Linked DNA regions of Caenorhabditis elegans. The protein of the gene in region 1 interacts with the protein of each later gene in a pairwise test. Each region holds a gene or a part of one and is shown in the gene's direction. Other genes may lie near its edges.

Region 1 (6,141 bases):
GACGCGCAAAATATCTCGTAGCGAAAACTACAGTAATTCTTTAAATGACTACTGTAGGTCGATTAACGGAAATTATTTATCATTCGGCAATGACAAAAAACTAAATAAAGTAAATGGGAAAAAAATCGAGATCGCGTAAATCGACCTACAATAGTCATTCAAAGAATTACTGTAGTTTTCGCTACAAGATATTTTGCGCGTTAAATATGTTGCGAAATACGCGTTATTAGACTTTCGTGATCCCGTAATAAAAAAATTGAATTTGCTTCGCAGTGTTCCCGAAATACAGCCAAATTTATTTTTTTCAAGCTTTTTCGTTGCATTTTCTCCAATTTTAGTCTCCGTTTTCCCAACATCCTCGTTTTTACACTTGTCCAGGTAATTTTCTCTAATTTCTGGGAAAATTCCGCAGAAAAAACGGAAATCTAGAAAAATTCGAGATTTCCCAGCAGTTTATTTTGATTTTCTTCAATTTTTCACTCAATTTCACAAAGAACTATTCGAAATCGAAAAAAAAATCGATTTTATTCAGAAATTTATTAAAAAATTTTAAAAAAATACCGTACCCTTCAAGCAACGTGTACTCCTCTCGGAAAATTCGAATTAATTATTAATTTTTATTGATTTTCAACCAATTTCGCTACCAAAAAGGGTGTGTTCCCTCTAATTTAGGATAGTCTTTGCCATTTGTCTCCTTCCGTTTTCTCTTTTATCTGACTGGGGTCACATTCACAGTGAAAGGAGAATTAGAAAAAAGAAAAAAAGATGAAAACACGCTGTGTCTCTATCTCTCCGCCAATTCTCACGGTTTTCCCGGTGAGTTACAACGAAGAAAATGAACACTTCGATAAAAAATATATATTGACGCCCCGGGTTACCGATTACCGATGCCCACAAAAATCACTTCTTATCAATTTTTAAATGGTTTTTTTCAGGACAATCTGATTTTTATTTTTTCTCACTCAACCTCCACTCTCTTCAAGTTCCATGCTCTCTTTTAACCTCTTCTACAGCTATTATTGTCGGCCACCTGCGCACACACACAGGGCCTTCTCACACACCATTTAGCATGGGCGGCCCCTTGATGAGCGATGAAAGCGAGAGACGCAGAGAAATTGGTGTAGCGGGGGGCCATGGTGCACTACCGACAGCGCGCGCATACACCACCACCAACCGCCTCTTGTCTTCTTCCCCCCTTCTTCTCACGTCCCCCGGTCCGTCATTTATTTGAATTTTATGGATCCTTTTCGCCTCGTTTTCCTCGTTCCACTATCCTCCCTCCTACCTCCTGCTGGGTTCTACGTTTATTTGCATTTTATAATTGGAGGAACTTCTTCATTCGAACATTTTTCGCTTTTTTTTCCCGTCATTCTTTTTGAATTTTGTAGAGCGAGTAGCGGCCTAGTTTTCGGCTAGGCCATCTGTTGCCAATGACAGATGTGTTTTGTTCACCGTATCGATTCCTGCTCTTTAATTTAAAATTCCCGCGTTTCGGATTTATAAGCAAAAAAGTAATTTTCTACGTCAAAAATAGGTAATTTTAAGGTATTTAAAGTCTGATCGTGGTGTCACCCATGCCAAAAAACATGGCATGCGCCTTTAAAGACTACGGTATATTTACAAAAATGTCGAAAAATGCGAATTTTAAACAAATTTAAAGATTTTTGATGATTTTCTCCTTTTTGTTCGGAATTCCCTTGTTTAAAATTTATGATTTTATTTTTAAAAACTCAAATTACAAATTAATAAGCCGAAAAATATTGTTATTCGCGGTGGTACCCACATTGAAATACATGGCACGCGCCTTTAAAGGTTACGGTAGACAAAAATACTTGAAAATTTAATTTTGAACAAATTTCGAAGTTTTCGATCAATTTCTAGATATTTCACATCGAAATTTCCTCGTTTCAAATTATTTTTTCAACGAAACAGCTCAAATTCGACATTTTTAAGCAAAGAAAAGTAATTTTGTTCGAAATTCGTGTCGAGACCCACACCAAAATAAGCGGCATGCGCCTTTAAAAGTTACGGTGGACAAAAGTATTTTTTAAATTAAAATTAAAACAAATTTCACCGTTTTTGCTGATTTTTCTTGAGTTTTTCATCTAAAATTTCGATTTTGTCGTCAAAATTTATCTCTAATTCAATAAAAATTCAACATTTTCCAATTTTAGAAGTCTAAACCTCCACTTTCTCCCCAAAATCCTATCGAATTCAAATTTCCCGCGTCTTTCCCCTCTCCATGGCCTAACTTCCGCGGACCTAGTCCCCCTTTTTTCTTGTTTTAAATGGTTCCGTGCTTCTTTTCCCTCCATTTTTCCGTCAATTTCCCATTAAAATCGTTAAAAAATGCTCTAAATTTCCAGATATAAAAATACACAAAAATGATGGCCGACGAAGAGCTCGGCGATGAGGTGAAGGTGTTCCGTCGGGATGAGGATGCTGACGATGATCCAATGATTAGTGGTGAAACGTCAGAACAACAGTTAGCCGATGATAAAAAAGAAGCTGTAATGGAAGCAGAATTAGACGGTGCCGGTCGAAATCCATCGATTGATGGTGAGTTTTCCAATAAATTTGATCGAAAGGGGAAGGTGGCCAGCTATCACACAAAATTTTATGGACCACCTCAATTGCCTTTCGACTTTATTACACAAAAAAAATATTTGAAAATTCTTCTAAATTTCTAAATTTCTGCAGGAAAAAGGGACATTAAATATTAAAAAAATACATATAAATTTAAATTTAAATAATTTAAATAAAAACTTTAAATGCTAAGACTGATCCCAAAAAAAGAGAAAAAAATCATTAAATTTGAAAAAAAAACCTTATTTAAATTCCCGCATTTTTTGTCTAAACTCCGCCCATAGAACCGTGCCGCACTTTGTTTTTTTTTCAAATTCAGCGTAAATCCATATTTTGGGGGTTTTTTTTCAGTTTTTAAATGGAGAAAAAGGTTTTAAAAATCGCCGAAAAATTCATTAAAAGCTAGAAAAACAACCCAAAAATTGGACTTTACGTTGAAATTAAAAAGTGCAAAAGTGCGGCACGGTTTTATGGGCGGAGTTCAAAATCGAGACAAAAGCGCGGGAATTTAAATTAATTAAAAATCGCTAAAATATTTTTTTTTGACAAATTTGAGTATTTTCAGTGTTATTTTGAATTTCAACCAATTTTAAAGCGATTTTTCGCCATTTTTTATATTTTAAAGTATTTCTAACACTTTATAAATGAAATTTACTCATTTTTAACCAATTTTTTTTCCGGTTTTCACTATTTTCTATTAAAAAAATCCATGCTAATTTCAAAACACCCCTAAGAATTGACCTGATGGTCCCGGGCCTTACGCAATGACATAATGACGTAAAAGGATGTTACGCAACGGTGTTCGAACACCATCTGCGTCTCTCCGAATCCCATACTATCTCGGTCCGTTATCTTGTGTGCTAATCCGTCGTGAGTACTTGAACAAGTTGGTCCGTCTGTGTGTGCTCAATAGACTGTATAGGGGTGCGAAAGGATTAAGAATTGGATAATATTCAAAATTGATCTGAGAAATTTGAACTTGGCGCCAAAAATTGACCTTTTTTGAGATCTGTGAATGGAAAAATCTAAAAAATTATGTATTTCAGGCCTTTAGAGGTGCTAGAAATTCCTTTTAAAATTTTACGAAAAATCGCTTTAAAATCGAATTTTCAATTGAAAAATCTAAAAAATGAGAGGTTTTGAACTCGGATATCACTATAAAAGTTGAATTTTAAAATATTTTTAACTGAAAATTGTGAAAATTTGCGAAAAATCGCTTTCAAAAATCGAAATTTTGAAGGAAAAATGAGATAATTAACCCTATAAAATTGAGTTTTGAAGAATTTTAACTAAAAATTGTGAAAATTACCGAAAAATCTCTTTAAAATCGGAGTTTTCATGAAAAAATCTGGAAAAATGAAATCTTTAACCCTATAAAATTGGATTTTAAAGAATTTTGACTAAAAATTGTGAAATTTGCCAAAAAATCGGTTGAAAATCAAAAATTTGGCTCTTTTTTAACCATTCTAACCGAATAATTATCAAATTTTCAGTGTTAAAAAGTGCATTTCCAAAAGTCGAACCAATGTCACCATCGTTTCCCGGTTTAATGTCACACTTCAGTCCTGGATACTCGGCAGCTGCTTTACCCATGTTTATGCCTCTATTTATGGTGATTTTTTACTTGGAAAATTGAAAAAATTTGAATTAAAACACATAAAAATTGGCGAAAATCGACAAAAATCGACTTAAAATTGTATTTTAGAGTTAACAAGTTAAATACTTCTGAACGAAAAATTACCGAAATTGGCAAAAAATCGGCTTTAATTGGAAGTTTTCACTGAAAAATCTGAAAACAAAGGTGAATATTAGGCCTCGAATATGTTATAAATACCTTATAAAGTTGAAATTTCAAGATTTCCCCCAAAAATCGACGAAAAATCGCTTTAAAATCCTTTTTATGACAATTCCCCCTATTTTATTAGAAAAATTATGTAGTCTAGGCATTAGAAATACTTTTAAAAGTTGCAATTTCAATATTTTGCCCAGAAATTGCCTAAGAAATGGGAAAAATTATGTATTTTGAATTTTTAAAGGGTTCGAGAGCCTCTATATTTTTGGAATTTAAGAATTTACACCAAAAATTATTTAAAAAAAGCGAAAAAACACCCTAAAATCGAAAGCTTTATTGAAAAATATGGAAAATTGTGTATTTTTGAGCTTATTCTTCAATTTGAATCAAAAATCGTCGAAATTTGCAAAAAATTGCTTTAAAATCCTATTAAAAATCATTTTTCCAACAATTTCTTCCCCAAAAAAGCAGAAATTCCAAAAAAAAAAAATTCAAATTTTTACCCAATTTCAAGAATTTTTAGGGCTTTTCTCCATTTTTGTAGAAAAAAAACCGTATTAATTTTTTATTCTTCCTACAATTTTCTTCCCCAAAAAGCAGAAATAATACAAAATTTCCACTAAAAAACTGAATTTATTGTCTTCCAAATCCAAAAATTCTTGGCTTTCCGCCATGGGGTTCTGGCCTTCCTCATTGAATTTTTCGCGCTCCATTGACAATCGCCCGCCGGACTGGGATAGTCGTGTACTCCACACGGACAAGTGCATTTAGTTTTACAACTAAAATCGAGCCGCGACGCGACACGCAACGCGCCGTAAATCTACTGAGCCAAAATGACCTAGTTCGGCAAAAACTCTTCCATTTCATTTTATGAGGGAAGCCAAAAATTCGTGAGAAATTCTACAAAATTTTCACCGAAAAACTGAATCTATTATCTTCTGAATCCAAAAACTCGTTGCATTTCCTCGAAAACAGTTTTTTCTTCTTTTTTGTTGGAGAAGCCTCATTAACTCCCAAAAAATTGCGTGTTTTTTGGCAATTTGTTTTTCTCGAAAAACTATTGGCGAAAAAACACCAAAAATTTCTTTTGAATTGTTGAACATCATGTCAAGAGCCGAAATTATTTCCTTTTGCGTCACTTTGGGGGGTCTCGATGGTGGTGGTAATTATGGTTGCTGGTACCCGAGACACGGATACAATAGACAATTAGACACCTCTGGGCCCCCCCCCCCCCCACACACACATGTTTGGACACCTTTTTTCTACAGACAAAAAGACGCGGAAAACAATAGGTTCAAAAGGTGTGTGTGTGTTCGTATTCATTCATTACAAAATGATGATGACCCCACACCAGAACAAGTGTGAGAGAGCTCTAATTGCTTCCGGAACATGATTGGTGCCACTTCCTGTAGAGAATTGACACTTGTTTTTTGAATTTGTTGAGAGCTAGCGGGGATCTGAATGATTACCGTACCTACCTACTAGGCCTATCTTCTCGGGGTACTGTACACAGACACGTGGTGTCAAAGTGTCTCATTTCGACTTGATCTACGTAGATCTACAAAATAGGCGGGAGAAGAGACGCAGAGCTCTCAACTGATTTCGCATGGTTAAGAACCTGTTGACGTCACATATTTTTGGGTGAAAAATTCCCGCATTTTTTGTAGATCAAACCGTGAAGGGGCAGCCTGACACCACATGCACAGGTTGAGCCAAGGTTTTCTGAAAAATTAGGAACGATTTTCCATTCGGTTTTTGTAGCA
Region 2 (5,714 bases), on another chromosome or scaffold:
TAGGTATGAGGTAGGCCTGTCCATTAGGAAAGTATCAGTGTTCATTACGTCTACGCCGATGTTATATGGCACCTGCCGATTTGATCAGGGCTTGAATATTAGAAGCTAATTTTGTACTTTTTGTCTAAAATGGTTCTAATTATTTATTAAAATACCTTGGGTAGAATATCGAAGAGCCCAACTGGTCTCATGTCTCGCCGGAAAACGCGTCCTTTAGTTACTTGCGATCATATTTTTATGCTATTCGAGTTCCTTTTATGCTATTCGAGAGCTATTCGAGGAGCTACTCTTCTATTTTGGCTCTGATTATTTTTTGTCACTGTTAGAATTTCTATAGGCACGACTGACGACCGCTTTTTTCCCGGAAAACGCCCCACGTAAATTTGCACGCATACTTTTGGTTGGGAGCCAGTGGGGCGAGGATCCTCCCCTTCACGTAACACCTCAGTCTTCCGAGTAGGAACAAAATCGCAAAACTTTCGTGGTAAGACCACCGGCACCCCATAAACATTTATTAAGTAACACACACACAATTAATGCGTTCCTTCCCACTGCCAATCTTCTTATCAGAAAGATGAAATGACCGTCTCAACCGAGCCTGTGTGTCTATTTGTGTGTGGCCTTTGTAATAGTTACCACCTAGCTGATAACCGAGAAAGTTGGATTACCTCATGATTCCCTCATAAATTTGCCGACAGGTTCTTTAACGAAAACATATTTGTCTTTTGATTGTCTATTCTCTATTTACAAATTGATAATTGGGAGAATGCCACCCAGAATTAGTCGATTTAAAATTGAGTATGATCTACATAGATCTGAGTAGTGGTTGATCACAATGATATAATTATTATATATTAGTATCATTTTCTCTTTCTCTCTCTCTCTAAATTCACCCTGTCATCAGTGATGATTCTCAGTTTCGAGCGGCGGAGGGGCGAGCGTGTGGGCGGAGCCGCGTGTCCAATGAGCGTGGGGCGGGGCGGTCCAATTACCGGTGTTTTCTTTCGTTTATTCGCTTTTTGTGACTATGACACCAAAACGGAAGAATCAGTGGATCAGGCAAAAATATTATTATTAGAACTAATAGTTGGATTTAGGTTGGGTATCATTCTGTACCTATTTCACCTGATTTCTTGTGCTTCACTTGATCTTTGTCTTTATTATTATTGTTATTATTGTTGTTGTGCTCCTTGTTGTGCTCCTTATAAATCCCGTAAACTCTAAATCTAAATTGTTATCTAATACTTTTTATTGGTTACCAATAATATTACTTCTGCCAAAAGAGGCAAAACGCCGCGTTTCAAAAAATGAAAATTTTTATCTGTTGTTCATCACTGTCAAATTTATGATTATTAATATTTCTCACCATTCAAATTAAAACTTTTGCTTCAAAACTACATAAAACATTCAAAAACTTGAAACAAATTTTATTCGATTTTTGCAAGTTTTTTATTTAAAAAAAATTATACCGTATTTTCCCTAGCATTCATTTTGCTCATATCTCGGTTGTCCCAAGTTTTATCAAAAAAATTTTAACTGTCATAATGTAGAAAAATAATTTTTCCATAGTTTGTAAGTTGACAATTTTTTGATAGAACCAGAGAGAATCGAGATATAAGCTGTCAAAGAAGAGCAAGGTGCATGCAAGTCAAATAGGAAAATAGTGGGTTTTCCGGTTTACAAATTCGCATAGTTTTGAATTTTTTACAGAGTTTTCACCATTTTAGAGAATTGCTCACATTTTCTGAATTTTTTTTTCAAAAAATTAACTGGTACCTAAATTGAAATTTAAATATTTTGAGCAGAAGAGGTGAAACTCTTTTTTTAAATTTTTTAATTGCTTCTCATATTGATACTATTCTCTTTTTGTGCCAAAACTTCTAATCAATGCCCCGCTCCTTTCAAATCCTAAAGTTCCACTTAAAAACTGAAGAATCAAAAATCTTGAAACCTGTACTGTATGTACTCTTCCAAAAAACCACCTCCGTGCTTTTCATCATTTACAACTTGTCTCCCAGTCCTCGTCCGCAACTTGCTTTTGATATATTTTTTTCGACTTCTTCATTTCAACACATACCTACACACACAAAAAAAGTTTGCGCTAACACATGTCCGCCCGTCATAAATCTACAGTAATCTCGGAGCTTTCTTTCTCTCTCCTGATGCTCCCACACCACTCTGTCATTTTTCAATTGTTCTTCTCTTGGAAGCTCATCTCTCGTTTTCATTTGATCCTGCTAGAAGACACTTGATATGTTGTTTGTGTTAACTAAGATAACTGATATTGTTGAAAGTGATAGCTTTGCTTTGCTTTTCAACTTTTCGTGTTCCTCCTGCTCTTTTTTTTGACAGCTTACTAGTACCGAGTTCGGACCCCTGCATAGTACTACAAATATTATATTAATATGAGAATGATATACCCTTATTATCCCCCCACGTACTCTTGAGAATCATTAGTATGTTTCAATGTTTCGCCAACAATGGATTGGTATCATCTGCCCTTACCTACCGTACTCCCTCAAGTGCTCCCTCATCCATGATTACCGTACTCCCCTACTCTCCTCCCCCTTCTATCCGATTATAACATTTTTATTAATAATTATTATTGTCTGGTGTCTCGCGATGCCATCTCTATCTTACGATTTCGCTTTGAATTTTGATAACGCTATGAAAATATTAGCTTTTCTTATCTTTTTTATGTTTTACTTTTTTTCATAATTTTTTCATCAACTTACTTGCAGAAACTAACTAGGTAGACACCGGTAACAATGCTCTTTTCCATGGAATCAATTCTATCAAGTACCAAGCCAAAACTGGAGCCACCTCCGAAGCTAGAGCCGGAAGTGACAATCAATGAGCAAGTGGTTGATCTGCCGCGGAGCAACACACGGCTCTCCGAGCCATCAACTTCTGCGTCGGTTCTTGAACATGATTTGAAGTTTGGGGAGTCCCGAAAAAGAAGTCGGTCTCTTGGAGACGAGCCCACGGAAGATGAAGACGGCGTTCCAGTTCGGAAGGCAAACAAAAGAAATCATTCAACTTCAAGTGCTGCAGATAGCTCATCTGATGATGCGAAGGATGATGACGACGATGATGATTCTACATCGTAAGTTGGGAACTTGGGAAAAACTTAGGAATCTTAGAAGAAATTCGATTTTTCTCGACCTCGACCTTTTAGGTCCTTTTATACAAAAAGTTTGTATGCTCAATTTTTGTGAAACTTTGATCTCCGATATTTTTAAGTCTATTAGACATTGTTCAACTACCGTATTTTCCCTGTATGACTTGCATTCTCTTTACTCTAACTTGACGGTTTATATCTCGGTTGTCCTAAATCTTACCAAAAAAGTTTAACTGTAAAAATGTAGAGATATATTTACATGCATTTTGTCAGTTGACAATTTTTGATGAGACCAATAAAAACCTAGATATTGGCTGTCAAAGTAGAGAAATAGGTAGAGCAATATACCTATAATATGTACAGTGATATGTACAATAATATGTACTGTGTAAAACAACTGTAACTCTATAATTTTGCAGTCGAAAATCAATGTCTGGTCACCGAAAGAGCAGTCACGCAAAGCCACCGTACTCCTACATTGCACTCATCGCGATGTCAATTCTCAATTCACCGGAGAAGAAACTGACACTTTCGGAAATTTGCGAGTTCATAATCAATAAGTTCGAGTATTACAAGGAGAAGTTCCCCGCCTGGCAGAACTCGATTCGTCACAACCTAAGCCTCAACGACTGTTTTGTGAAGGTGGCTCGGGGGCCTGGGAATCCGGGAAAAGGAAACTATTGGGCGCTGGATCCGAACTGTGAGGATATGTTCGACAATGGATCGTTTCTGCGCAGAAGGAAGAGGTAAGGGGAGCACAGGAGAAAGTATTACAACCTGACGGGGAGTAGTAGCCGGCGGCGGGGTGAGCACACATACGAGATGTGAAGAGAGGGAAAAGACAGTTGTTTCGATAATTTGTCACCAATTTGTTGTCATTAATCGCACCCTCGAGGGTAGTGGAGAAGCCTGGGAAAAGAAAACTTTCGGGGTTAACAAGGGAATTAGTGAGATAAATTTTCAATTCAAACACTTAATAATTTCAGATACAAGAAAAACAGTGACACATATCACGAAATGATGTCCCATCATCCGATGCCATTCCCTCCATTCCTCCCGCAAGGAATGCCCTTTCCTCCAAGAATGATGCACCCGATGGCTAACATTCCCATGCTGGGACATCCAATGAATCCAAGAGCAGTTCCAAACATGCCAGCGTTCTTCATTCCACAAAATATTGATAGCCAGAAGCTCTTGTCAATGATGGCTTCGAGAATAATGCCAATGGATGCTCCAGTCAGCTCTGGCCAGAAGAGAACTTCATCGAGCTCCTCACCAAATGAGAATGGATCTTCGGCAGTTTCAGATAAACTGAGCGCTTAGAAGAACACTCAATTTCCTTGTTTAATTTTTAACAATTGTTTCCTATTTGCTTAACCTTTTCTAGTCTCTTGTTCCTTTTCCGTTCCCCTTCAATTCCTTTCAGCATTCTTCATTTCCCCTGATCTCAATCGTGCAATCAATAATCAATTTTTTGTTAATCCTCCTGCACGTGGTACCACAACTTCATTTCTTCAACTGATCTTCCCTTTTCTTTTTTTTCTTTGTTTCATTATCTGTGAAAGAGCTTATGTCGTAAATAATTCGAAAATATATATGTCCATCGTCAGCATTTTTGAAGTTAAAATCACATTAATCAATTGAGCAAACAGTAAGATGAAAGGAGACCGCAGAAGCTGCTGAGCCGATTAAAAGACTGAAATTGATAAGGGAGGGAAGTGACAAGACTGCTGCAGAGTTACTAGTCTGCAAAATGTCATGAATCCAACAAAAAATCAGGGTTCAGAAGACTAGGTTTTTAGTAGAAAACATACCGAATTTTTCAATTAGTCTTGCACCAAATTTGCTCTACTTTGGCAGCTCATATCTCGGTTGTCTTCAATTTTAACAAAACATTTTCAACTGTAAAATCATAGAAACATATATGAAAAATATTTCTACTGTTGAAATTTTCGTGATAAAACCAAAAGCAGCCGAGATAAGAGATCTGAAAGTAGAGCAGAAGGGGTGCAGTACTAATAGGAAAAGTACCGTAACTTACCTTTTCCTAACTTTTCTAAATTAGATGGATATATAACTGGACGCGAATATTAGCCACAGACAGAGTTCCTCAGCCTCCAAGAGTCCTCATTTTTCCATATAACCTGGCTCCTTTGGACTAGATAGAATTTCTAAAAAGACGACCTATGCCTACTTTTCTGTGAATAAAAACCATTAAAACCATAATTTAAATCAACATAAAGCTACTTGTTGTTTGGGCAAATAATGATACTAACAATTAAATGAACATTTTGAAAACTATGCTAAGATTATTCAAATGTTATCCTAATTACCAAAACCCTAGTTTAACTCGGTGACTTTTTGAACTCCCGCCAAACCATATAATTATCTCAAGCATGTCGTCTTCATTTCTATCCTAATTAGATACCCATACATAGTGTATATATGTATATTCAAACTATACAAAACGGATATTGCTTATCAAATTCATTCATCAGTTTGCCACGTCAAATCAAATTATCGAGAAGTGTGTGTGGGGGTGCAGTTTCACCTTATGCCACCTCATGTTTCGTTTGACGGCACATGGTGACAG
Region 3 (6,447 bases), 3.9 Mb from region 1:
TTAAATTTCAAAAAGTATTGTTTCTCCAGTTTATTATTGAATCCTCTTTTGTTTCTTTAAATAATTTTCAAGTAACGAGATGCTTTCAGAGCCACCAAACGAGGCCGTAGGGACCCAAGTATGGAAGATGAAGAAATAGAAGAAACTGAAGAGAGTACAACATCTGCAAGAAGAAGCTCCGAAGAACCCGAAGAGCCAAGAGATCAAGAGAACACTGTTGGAGTGGTATGTGTACGAGATTTTATGAGTTGTGTAACCACTACTTGAGCTGATTAATTCTAAGGCCGAAAAATATTTTATTTGGACAAAAACTTTAACTCTAAAAAATAAAGTTTCAAAAAACAATTCGGCAATTAAAATTTCGAAAAAATTAAAGTAAGTCTCCATATCTTTCAAAAATCTTACAAATGTTAAAATCCAAAAATAGTTTACTGTTTCAACAATTCCTATGATGTTTTGAATAAAAAAGAAATCATTATTTTTCAATATAAATTGTGGATATTCGGTGCGAAACTGTTTCAATGCGCTGATTAATAGGACCACATTTGTGTCAAATGTTCATTTCAATTTGTGAAATGATCTAAAACAGCGGCATCCCAGACATAAAATGTATGTAGTTCCAAATGCCTCGACCACATACATTTTATTATTCTCATTCACCCATTAAACATCCCTTTTCCATCAACCGACATCAATTTGACCCAAGGTGACCCTTATATGGGAATTTTCTATTTCTGGAACATAAATCTGACTTTCATTGTATTCGTTGTCATAATGATGACATAAAGTGCAAACAAATGTGTACACCATCGTCTCACCACCATCTGTTACACACATCCAACCAATTATCGCCTTCTCGAATCTTTGAATGTTTATAACCACCCATCACATCCCTCCTTTTTCGATAAAATCTAACATTGTGGGAAATGAATGTGTCAATTACTGAAATGAAATGATTGATCAAAGGGCATAACCTTGTTAGTTGTTGATAGCTTCATTTACCTTAATCCTTATATAAATTTACGCTGCCCTTAAATCAAGTGTCGTGTTCAAGAATATATTTTTCACGAGACGACTTGCACTCTTAATCTAAAAATGTATTTTTAGGTGAAGCAGGAGGTTGATGACGAAGAAGAAAGTGTCTCCAGAGGCACGAGTCCAGTCTTCTGATCAGTTAGCAATGAAACGACAATTATATTTGATTTCCTAATGAGTTTAAACTCTCGAGTTTTTATATGTGTAATATATTCTTCAACACTCCGGAATGCTTCTAATTAGTTACAAATGACAAAATGGAGCTTCATTCATGTTTTGGTTTTTTTTTAAATTTTCATGACTGCTACAGTATACCGTCTTGTTGTTTAATCTAATAGAATCATTCAAGAGTTTTTATTCTTTCCATTTGAATCTCAATTTTCACTATTATCATTTGATTCTCATCTCATTTTCTTACCGATTTTCAATCTCAAATTATTTAAGAACATACCATGTCAATAAACTTATTATTTGTTAAACATGATTTTTTAAAAATATTTTCTTCAAGACAGGTTTATGTCTCTTTATTCAATATTTCAACCTTTTCCGTTTTTTTAGATAATTTTGTGAGTTTTTTATACTGGAATTGTGATTATGTACATGTAAAATATTTATAAATGCTTCTCTCTATAGTAAGTTGCAGCTTCATCGTGTTTGATTCGAAATATTAGTTAGAAATCCTCGGATCCTCGTGTTACTTGAATATCAAACTTATTGGATACATTCATCTTCTACACTCGGGCTCAAAAGAGCTCAAAACAAATGTGCTCTATCGACAACTCCTCCCCCCATTCGGTCACCCATTCAGCGTCGCATTCATCGCCGCGCGTTCGTCCTCCTCGACACCAATACCTCCTTCATTCTTCAACGTTAGTGGGGCTATATGACCAGTCGTTTTGCAATTAATGTATGATTCTCTCCGTCTACACCACTGGAAACCCATGTCCTCTTTCTTTGTTTCTTCGTCTCGTTGTCAACGTCTATTCAAACCACGTGCTATTTCTTGAGTTTTGTTGTCTTCTCCCAATCCATCACTAGTCTGTTCTTCCTTGCATTTTTTTGATCGAATTTTTAAAACTCCTCTCATAATTTTTATGTTAATAATTCACTATCCACTTGATTGTATTTAATTTTCAGTAAAAATGAAGGCATCGTATCTGGAAACCCTCGATCGAATCAAAGACGAGCATGCGGAAATGTCGAAGCATGTCAACCAGCAACGAGTAAGCTTAATTTTGTAAGAGAAATTTTAGTATATTGAAAACAATTTTGCAGTCGGATATCGAAAAGGTTGCGTTAGAGAAAGAAAATATGAATAGATCGTATATGACGTACGCTGAAGTATCAAATACTCTTCGTAGCGATCTTCGAAAAGCAGAAGAAATCAACAAACGCCTTCAGGAATTCATCATGCAATCGGTAAATTAACTCGTCAATAATGTTATTAAAAAATCGAACAAAAATATAGAAAAAGCTATTACAATTTTTTTGTTGAAATATTTGAACTAAATATTATGGAAACGTTATAATATCTATTGGATTGTACCTTGTTCAACTCAAACATGCTCCTCTTTCCATATATTCATTTATAAATAGAAGAAAAATTATTATGTAATATTTTTAATTCATAATAATCAATTTTAGGTAATATTATAAATGTATATTTTTCAGTTGGCTCCTCAACTATCTCAAGATAATCAAGCAAACTGCCTCGCCGCACTGGAAGCTTTCAAAACCGCATCACCACGTGAAAATGGAAATGGAGCACCAGCACTTCCACCAGGTTTTCCTCCCGGTGCAGCTGGAATGCTTGGAATGATGCCAAATATGCCATTCGGAATGAGCCCTGCAATGAGTCAACTATTCAATCAATTCGCATCACCACATGTCAACGGTGGAGATGGAGCCGGTGGAAGTTCTGGAGGTGCAAGTGAAGCGAAAAAGGCCAAGCTGGAAGATCCAGATGATGGAGAACTTGAGATTGATGTCACAAATGATGATCATCCAAGTACTGCATCAAATGGAGGCGCAGCTAATAAAAATGGAAGAGATAGCACAAATAGTGTTGCCTCATCGGGAGCATCTACACCGAGCATCGCATCAAATTCTAGAGCAAGACAACAACAGCAGCCACTCGCTGGGCTTCAAGGATTGGAGCAAATGAACTTTTTAGCTGGATTCAGTACGTGTTTACAATCTTTTGAAGTGTGCTAAGTGGAGGGAGCAAATACCAAAACTTCAGGCAATGCCAAAATATTTCAATTTTCAGATCCAAATCTTCTCCGACAAGCTAGTGCTGCTGGAGGATTCAACTTTTTGAATGATCCCCATGCACAGGCCCGTCTTGCAGCTGCCATCGGGCAAATCGGTAGCAGACCGGCCTATTCATTCAAAATTGTGGACGGTGGAGTTCCAACACCTACATCCTTCCCTCCAGATGCACAGAAAGGTCCCGGAATTCCGACGTAAGAAAATATAATAATTGGCTTTGATTCAAATTTGAAAAAAAAAATTGCAGAGGTCTCAAGAAGAAAATGGAATTAAATCACGGAGAAGTAGTTTGTGCGGCCACAATTTCCCGTGATAACAGTCGTGTTTATACTGGTGGAAAAGGATGTGTTAAGATCTGGGATGTCAAAGAATCAGATATTTCTGGCGCAACGGTTGTGAATCGGCCTCCAATTGCATCCTTGGATTGTCTCAAAGAGAACTATATTAGATCTTGTAAACTCTTTGAAGATGGAAATACACTTCTGATTGGAGGAGAAGCCAGTACTGTTGCTCTTTGGGATCTTACAACTGAAACAAAAACTTTGGACTTGGAAACTGATTCACAAGCATGCTACGCGTTGGCGATGTCACCAGATGAGAAATTATTGTTCGCATGTCTTGCTGATGGAAATATCCTCATTTATGATATCCATAATAAGGTGAAAGTTGGAACCCTACCTGGACATCAAGATGGAGCATCATGTCTCGATCTCTCAAAAGATGGTACAAAGCTCTGGTCAGGTGGTCTTGACAATTCTGTTAGATGCTGGGATCTTGCACAACGAAAGGAAGTTGCGAAGCATGATTTTGCGAGCCAAGTTTTCTCTCTTGGATGTTGTCCAAATGATGAATGGGTGGCTGTTGGTATGGAGAATAATTATGTCGAGGTTCTGTCAACAACTGGAAAAGAAAAGTATCAATTGACACAACACGAATCATGCGTCCTTTCGCTCAAATTTGCGCATTCCGGAAAGTTCTTCATTTCAACTGGAAAGGTATGTTTTGATTATACTTTGTCATTTACCGTATTTCTTCTATTAGTATGGCCTCCCTATTAGACTTGCACTCCCTATTAGTATTGCCCCTCGGAGACCTTCCAAAAATTAGTATGGCACTCCCTATTGCACTCTCTAATAGTCTTGCGTTTACTTTTTTTTTATTGCAAACCCATCTCGCTAATTTCAGGATTTCAACAATATTTTTTGCCTATTGTGCAACAATTTTTCACAAAATTTATACGAAATTGAAGTTTTTGAACTTATAGGTTACAATTAAAATCAAAATTTTTTGTATTTTTACATAAGATTCGAGCTTTTTCAGAAAAAAACTAGTAAGCTCAAAGTCAGAAAAATATTCTGAAAATTAGTATTGCACTCCCTAATATTCTTGCACTCCCTATTAGTCTTGCAAGCGGGAAGACCATCGAAAAATAGTATTGCAGCCATATTAATAGAAGAAATACGGTAATTGGCTCAATTTTTCTAATTGAAACCTCATAATCTCAATTTTTCAGGACAATGCTCTCAACGCCTGGCGTACTCCATACGGAGCATCACTCTTTCAACTAAAAGAGAACAGCTCCGTTCTCTCATGTGACATCTCATTCGACGACTCACTCATTGTCACTGGATCAGGGGAGAAGAAGGCAACTCTCTATGCAGTTGAATATTAATTTTTTTCCGCAGTGAATTTATGATCATGATACTCAAAACCCCTATTCTGTACGATAATCGTTTCATCTCTCTCATCTCTTCTAATTTCGTTTGTCAAATTTTCGTATTTGTGTACCCTATTACGATTAATGTCACTCTATGTTTAAAACATTTATTTATTTGCACTACAAAACAATGATGATCTGACTTGACTTTAACAGCAATTAATAAAACATTTCAAAAATCTGAAACTCTTCCCTTCCTCTCCCAATCACCATATCGAGTTGGCTCTGGTCCAGCTGGTCCACCAACTTCTCCAGTTGACTTATTCACACCTCCCGGATGTTTCTTGAGGTGAGGATCTTCATATTGTTGTTCGTCTGCTTTATCAAGTGCTCCTTTCGGTGTCTTCTCAGCCATCACCTTCTCCTTCGCACTTTGTTTTGGTTTTATATCTGCGAATCGGCGGGAAGAATCTGAATCGTCAAGAAATTAGAAAATTGTTTTTTGTGTAAAATCCATACTCAAAATTGGACGAAGAATCTGACGAAGCATTTGATCTGAATATTTTTTTTAATTGTTTCAATAGGACTAATCTTGCGACTAAAGTTACATCGATATCTCCAAGGCTCCACCCATTTTTCCTTCAGTAACATATGAAAATATTGACAACAAATCTTTATCACATATATAAAAGTCCATAGAAACAAATGTTCTTTGATGCATTTCAAGAAAGTGGGCGCATAAGATCAAAAGAATAGGATAAGAGCTAAGGTAATTTAATTGAACATGCACTTGTACACGGCATAAATGACAAGTCCCATTGTAGTTGGAATCAGGAAGTTGGTCCATGTTGGTGAAGTCATAATTTCGGTGAAATCATTGAGGAGAGATGATGATTTTTCGTTTTTCGAAGGTTTCGCAGCCGCTGTCTCGACTTTTGGAACGTCTGATTCTGGCAATTGACCAATGAGATATTCATTGGCCATTTCAATAGCATCTTTTGAGTGCCCAACATCGAGGAATCCAACTGTAGCATCTTTACCGGCTAATTGAGTGATGACTTCTTCACCTCCTGGATGCTCATTCAAGAACTTTGTCACATCGTAGACCTGTAAGGAATGATTTCGATATTTAAATTTAAAAAATGAAAAAAAAATTACCTTTCCGGAGATGACAATCCAACACGATTGATCAGCATCTTCCCAGTTGTGCTTTGAGACCTCATCGAGAGAAATGACACGTAGCTCCGACATAATTGATGAACCCTGAAACAAAAAATGGTCTCTAAGTCGTTGAAAATTATTCAAAAGTGATATATTTCGGTTGAAAACCAGAAACTTTAGTATAAATTGAAAAAAAAAACATAAGGAAATCAAATAATTTATGCAGAAAATACTAAGAATTACCCTACAATCTCATGAAAAGGCACATTGAACATCGGAAGAAAATAATTCAATTATAAAACAATTTTGAAACACCCATGAAA
Region 4 (5,719 bases), on another chromosome or scaffold:
TGGCAATGGGATTGCACGAATATCATCGAGAGACTTCAAATGTGGAGAAATCCCTCCGTGCATGCAGAGAATACGCTTCGAGACGATTGCACACAGGGGCATATACGAGAAGACTTGATTGAAGTGATTGTAAACCGATTCATACACTTCTTCCCTTTGGAAACGCTTCTTGAGCTCCGCGTGGAAGCCGTAGTTTCTGTTACCAATAAGATTATTTTGTGTCAGATCTACTAACATGTGCTTACTTGTTGATGGCCTTCAACTCATGATTTCCTCTCAACAAATGCATCTTTCTGGGCATTGCCAATTTGAGTGAGAAGAGAAGCATAATGACTTCCAATGAGTGACCTCCACGATCCACGTAGTCCCCGAGGAAGAGGTATTGAGTTTTTGTCGCTGCTCCGCAGGCCTGAAAGGGAACATATAGAACAGCTTAGCACACATGCAGTTGGTATGGTAGGCAGGCAGGTAAGGACTTACATTGAAAATACGAAGCAAGTCGTTGTACTGCCCGTGGGTATCTCCACAAATGTTGATCGGAGCTTGAAGTTCCAAAAGAGCATTTGCAGCCGGTTTTGGAGGGCTCATAGATGTGGTTGCAGATGCTGAAGCAGATGGTGCAGTTTTCTTGTTCGGTGGAGATGTGTAGTACTTGAAGACACGTGTCAACAGCACATGGATCTCTTTTTCCTGAAAAAAAGACATTAGGAACGTAGGTAGGCATGGAGGCAAATAGACAGGCAGGGGCGTGGGTAGGTAGGCAGGCAACCGCTTAGAAACGCAGGGATGGTGCAGGTAGAGAATAGGTAGGAATGCAGTGGTTAAACATTTAGGCAGGTATGAGGCAGGCAGGTAAATATGCAGGGATGATTCAGATAGGCAATGGGAAGGCATGTAGGCAGGCACAGGTGAAGCAGGCAGGCCGGTATAGAGTCTCCTTTACTTACATCAAACATAATGGCTTTCGAGAATACAGGCTTCAGAAGTTTCTTGATCATATCGGTCAACTTGAATCCCTTCTCATCGGCCTCCGTGATATGCCAATTGTTGGCTTCCGAACCCGGTTCAACGGAAGTTTTCTGAAAAGGTAGAGGCATTTTAAAGAATCATCTGAATTTCCACTTACCTTTGGAGCATCTGTTGCAGCAGGATTTGAAGAATTCGAAGAATTTGAACTCATTTCGTTTTCAATTCAAATTGATCCCTTTGAAGTGTGAATTATCAATTAATGAATTTATTTTCTTTCTATTGATTTATTGATTTTGATGATTTATTGATTGACCATTGCGATAACAATTGTTTTTATTTTTGACGCGAACATTTTTAAATTGTTTTAAACTTGCGTAACTAAATTGTTATTAAAGTTGTAAACTATCCAAAAATTGTAAATTTTATGTTCTACATTTTGATAGTTGACAACTTTTTTATAGCGTTTTTTTTTTTTTTTTGTTTTTGACGCGAAAAATTTCTTTTTTTTTTTGTAAATTTTTTTCAATAATTTTTTATTATAATTTTCGTGATTAAATTGTTATCAAAGCTATCAAAAAGTTTGTAAATCGTTTTCCAACTATTCCTAAATTCCTAATCGATATTGTTTTTTTCTTTAATTTTCCAGATGTCCTCCAAGTTTCCCACAATATCGTGTGTCTTTCGTTTTCCAAACCACGTGGCGTACCATACATGGCAGAGAGTTGTGTTACGGCTCAAAGACATGTGCCGCTTATACTTTGCTATAAAGTATTTTGCCAAGTGTTTCGAACCGTTTTTGAACCGTTATTATTACTTGAAAAATCTCATATTTGCAGTAAAAATTACTGGAAGAAATGTACATTTAATAGTAACGTTTAAGTATGAAGCTATTGAAAAATGTATGAAAAACAAAATATAAAATTATTTTTATAATCAATTTCTTGTGTTTCTAACCAATTTCAAAATGCACCAGCCCTCCCGCTGAGCCCGACACATCTTCTCCTTCCGAGCCAATTCAAAACTGCGCACCGCTATCACTAGAGTGTGAGGTGTCAAGGTGTGGGTGGAGGTATACTTTTGAAGTGTGAACTACACATTCTAGATTGCTGAAGACCATAGAGATGCTCAGTTGGAGGAAGAGGTGTTCAAGAATCAGACACCAACATTGGCTCGCAGTTTAATGAGTGTTCCGATTTTACAGTTATTTTGGATATACTTCGCGTGTGATCCTTCTAGGTCATTATTATATTGGTGTGAATTCAAAAAGCCTAAGCCTATGCTTTAGCCTAAACCTGAGCCTGAGCTGAGGTCTAAGCTTAAGCCTGAGCCTAAGCCTAAGCCTTAGCTTGAGCCTAAGCCTAATAAGGGATGGGCGGCGAACAGGCTTTCTTGGTGAACGGCGAATTCGGCGACTTTGCCTATGCAGTTTTTCCAGTTTTCCAGGTTTTCTCTGAAGGTTTTTTCTTGTTCAAAGGTGTAAGCCTAAGCCTAATTGTAAGCCTAAGCCCAAGCAGAAGCCTGACTGAGCCTAAACCTAAGCCTAGGCATAACTCTAAGCCTAAGCCTGAGCATAAGCCTATGTCTATGTCTAAGCCTAAACCTAAACCTAAAGACTAAGCCTAAGACTAAACCTAAAGACTAAGCCTAAGCCTGCACCCAAGGCCGCCGTGCGCTACATCTCCCATGGCCACACGCTCATATGTGCCAAGTTGTGCTCCACTTGCCACGTGTCCACCCCTACGTGTGGCCCAGCCCCTTCCGGCTCCGCCCACTTACCGGCTCAGTTTTACAGAATTAGTGAGAGTGGTTAGCACTTTTATTACAATTAGATTTTTGTTGCTCTACTTCCGGTCTCACTTTTTTGTGCTTCTGTTACTCCTATAACTCCCCCTGTTACAGCATTACCATGTACTCGTGCACCTCCCCATCCGGAATTAAAGTCTCCTTGAGCACACCAGAAATTTGGGAAGAGTTCTACCCGAAAACCGAAATGATTGTGACGAGAAACCGTGGAAGGGTGATTTTTCCGCATTTGGACTATATCATCAAGGGATTGGATCCAGGCAGTCTCTACTCGATTTATATTCATTTGGAACGTGTTGACGGGATTAAGTGAGTTGGGTTAAAAGATAGAAAAAAATTTTCAACTGGTAAATTGTAGAAAATTAAATTTGCTACAATTTCTAAATTGACAACTTTTTGATAGCTGGTATACTTTCAGAGTTATAACCTATAGGACGATTCCAATTTCAAAAACTTGAACTCATTTCCAGATACAAATTCGACGCAGGAGAATGGAAAGAATTCGCCAAAGGAGATCCGATTCTTCCAATCCAATACAAGGAGCATCCGCGTGGCAAGCGTACTGGAGCAGAATGGATGAGTGAGCCCGTCTCGTTTGCTCACATCAAAATCACGAATAACCCGGAAATCAAGGATCAGAAGGTCATTTTAGTGCAGAGTATGCATAAGCACATTCCAGTGGTCACTGTTAAACAGGTCCGACATTATAAGACAGGGTATCAAGAGGATTTTAGTGGGGAGCAGTTCCGGTTGGAGGCTACTGAATTTATGGTGGTCACTGCTTATCAGGTTAGTTATTTGAAAGGGTGTGGGAAATTAAATTTGCAACAATTTGTTGAAAAAAGTTGAAAACATTTTAATCGCGTCACTATCAACGGAGATGAAGTAGTTTAAAGTTGGAGAGCATATTTTCAAGTTTCCAAAACTGTAAATTTCGAAGCGCTATTCCAACTTTTCAAATCAAAAATAAATGTAGACATATAGAAAGCATCTAATTCAAAATTAAAAAAATACTGAAAAACTTGCCGAAAGTTGCCATTTGCTGAAGCTTAAGCTTAGGCTTAGGATTAGGCTCAGGCTTAGGCTTAGACTTAGGCTTAGGCTTACGCCATTATACAGGAAAAAACCTTCAGAAAAAACCTGGAAAACTTAAAAAACTGCATAGACAAATTTGCCGAATTCGTCGTTCGCCAAGAAAGCATGTTCGCTGCCCATCACTGATTAGCCCTAGGCTTGGGCTTGGGCTTGGGCTTAGGCTTAGGCTTAGGCTTAGGCTTAGGCTTAGGCTTAGGCTTAGGCTTAGTCTTAGGCTTAAGCTTAGGCCGCAAATCGACTTTTTCAAAATATTTGTCGAGCACGTCAAATTCGGTAAATTTATTCGGCATGGCAATTTCGGAAAAAGCATTAAGTTTTCATTAAGTGCCGGATTGAAACTACGCTATTAAAATTTTGTCAACTAAAAAATAAAAAAATGTAGCAAATTCAATTACCCACAACTAGAAATTTTTCACCAACTACATACATATATTCTCTACAAAATTGTACCCTTTTCCAGAACGAAATCCTCAAAAACCTCAAGGTTCATCACAATAAATTTGCATCCGGATTTCGTTCGAATGGCAAGAGACGGCTTTCTTCAGACTCTGAAAATTCTGAAAACTCTCCGCCCAAACGCAGCAAATTGGTAACCCCACCGACAATCTCACCGCAAATAGATCTCCCACAGCAAACCCCGTATTATTTCAACCAGAATTTTGTGGCTCCGCAGAACTACCAGCCACAGTTTGCAAGTGCTCAGAATTACAATTTCGAAGTTCAAAATAATGCTCAATTAGCTTGGAATATGTATTATCAAAAACAATACGAGTTTTGGTGGCAACAGCAGCAAATGATGATGCCAGGACAACCACAAGAGCTCAAAAATGAATTCCAAAGTTTGTGAATTTTTTGTAATATTTTTATACCCCCTACCTATTGCCTTTCTCCCCCTTTGAATATTGTACTGCACTGATCTCCTGGATTACTATTTATGTGTCTCATAAATAACAATTGAAATAAACTTTATTAATATTTAAAAAAAATCAAATAGTCCTCGCGGAAGACTGCGCCACGGACAACGTCACCCCAATCGAGACACTTCTCTGCCGCCGCGTCACAAAACTCCTATATGGTGCAACGTAGTAGATCGTTAGAATCGGATCGATGAGGCACGGGATGACGCAGGTTGGAAACGGCACGAACTCGGCAATCTCGAACTCGATGTGGATTCGCTGGAAATTTTTCAATGGGCTAGGCGTGCCTGCCTGCCTGCCTATCTCACCTGCGCCACAAGGAAGTATGCAACATTGGGAAGAAGGCATACCATCGGGAACATTGCCTGCATTGTGAGTGCCTGGAAAAATTGGAAAGTTGCCTGCTTGTTTGCCTACCTACTAGGCAGGCAAGCCTACTCCTACCACTCACCCTCACCAAATCCAACGACGATTTCTTGGTTCGTTCACTCAAATGTGTCTGAACTTCGTTGATTTGATTGAAGATCTGATGTCTCCAGTACAGAATGAAAACGGGCATCATGTAGGGAATTCCCATGAGAATTGTGGTATTGATAAGATAAACCAGCCGAGTTGTCGACTTGAAGCCTCCATATTCGCCGAAAGTATCTAATAGGTGATAGTTGGGATACGATCTTTCCGTGTTCAGGGTTACTGTAGGGAAGTCGTATGGAGGAATTAAAATTGCTACCTGAAAATTTTGGAATTTATTTAGAAAGTGGTCCTAGTATTAGGCTTAGACCTAGGCTCAGGCTCAGGCTCAGGCTGAGGCTCAGGCTTAGGGTTAGTCTTAGGTTTAGGTTTAGGCTTAGACCTAGGCTCAGGCTTAGGCTCGGGCTCAGGCTTAGGGTTAGGTTTTTTGGGCTTAAGCTTTGGCTTACGCGTAGGCTTAGGCC

Evidence for each region.
Region 2: the proteins of pop-1 (region 1) and unc-130 interact in binary tests that used the Caenorhabditis elegans proteins (3 or more experiments, as listed by UniProt).
Region 3: the proteins of pop-1 (region 1) and unc-37 interact in binary tests that used the Caenorhabditis elegans proteins (3 or more experiments, as listed by UniProt).
Region 4: the proteins of pop-1 (region 1) and tbx-38 interact in binary tests that used the Caenorhabditis elegans proteins (3 or more experiments, as listed by UniProt).

Annotation. Positions count from the first base shown.
Region 1 is NC_003279.8:2,826,537-2,832,677, reverse strand, and holds the start of pop-1 (Protein pop-1), read left to right. Parts: upstream 1-2,366; 5' UTR 2,367-2,384; coding exon 2,385-2,559; intron 2,560-4,079; coding exon 4,080-4,198; intron 4,199-5,604; exon of another isoform or gene 5,605-5,795; intron 5,796-6,141. UniProt on the Caenorhabditis elegans protein: Transcription factor. Part of the Wnt signaling asymmetry pathway. Binds to the consensus sequence, 5'-(C/T)TTTG(A/T)(A/T)(G/C)-3'.
Region 2 is NC_003280.10:11,279,227-11,284,940, forward strand, and holds unc-130 (Forkhead box protein unc-130), read left to right. Parts: upstream 1-2,739; 5' UTR 2,740-2,768; coding exon 2,769-3,106; intron 3,107-3,540; coding exon 3,541-3,867; intron 3,868-4,107; coding exon 4,108-4,444; 3' UTR 4,445-4,733; downstream 4,734-5,714. UniProt on the Caenorhabditis elegans protein: Probable transcription factor. Binds to DNA sequence motif 5'-CTGTTTCA-3'.
Region 3 is NC_003279.8:6,741,055-6,747,501, reverse strand, and holds unc-37 (Transcription factor unc-37), read left to right. Parts: upstream 1-2,172; 5' UTR 2,173-2,177; coding exon 2,178-2,258; intron 2,259-2,310; coding exon 2,311-2,454; intron 2,455-2,706; coding exon 2,707-3,217; intron 3,218-3,304; coding exon 3,305-3,500; intron 3,501-3,553; coding exon 3,554-4,301; intron 4,302-4,819; coding exon 4,820-4,978; 3' UTR 4,979-5,195; downstream 5,196-6,447. Other genes in the region: fnci-1 (FANCI helical domain-containing protein), read left to right, coding at 90-225, 1,108-1,170; W02D3.12 (Succinate dehydrogenase assembly factor 4, mitochondrial), read right to left, coding at 5,196-5,434, 5,483-5,513; cytb-5.2 (Cytochrome b5 heme-binding domain-containing protein), read right to left, coding at 5,738-6,070, 6,122-6,214. UniProt on the Caenorhabditis elegans protein: Transcriptional corepressor that functions with the neural specificity gene unc-4 to govern motor neuron identity. In concert with unc-4, represses the expression of VB-specific genes such as ceh-12, thereby preventing the adoption of VB motor neuron fate.
Region 4 is NC_003281.10:11,783,209-11,788,927, reverse strand, and holds tbx-38 (T-box protein 38), read left to right. Parts: upstream 1-2,866; 5' UTR 2,867-2,875; coding exon 2,876-3,081; intron 3,082-3,103; exon of another isoform or gene 3,104-3,183; intron 3,184-3,242; coding exon 3,243-3,561; intron 3,562-4,327; coding exon 4,328-4,714; 3' UTR 4,715-4,846; downstream 4,847-5,719. Other genes in the region: C24H11.1 (Serine/threonine-protein phosphatase), read right to left, coding at 1-196, 246-409, 481-690, 948-1,079, 1,127-1,180; srd-74 (Serpentine Receptor, class D (delta)), read right to left, coding at 4,854-5,042, 5,093-5,164, 5,236-5,514. UniProt on the Caenorhabditis elegans protein: Transcription factor. Required for mesodermal induction, acting redundantly with transcription factor tbx-37. Together with tbx-37, acts by inducing cell fates in the AB lineage, thereby playing a role in development of the anterior pharynx.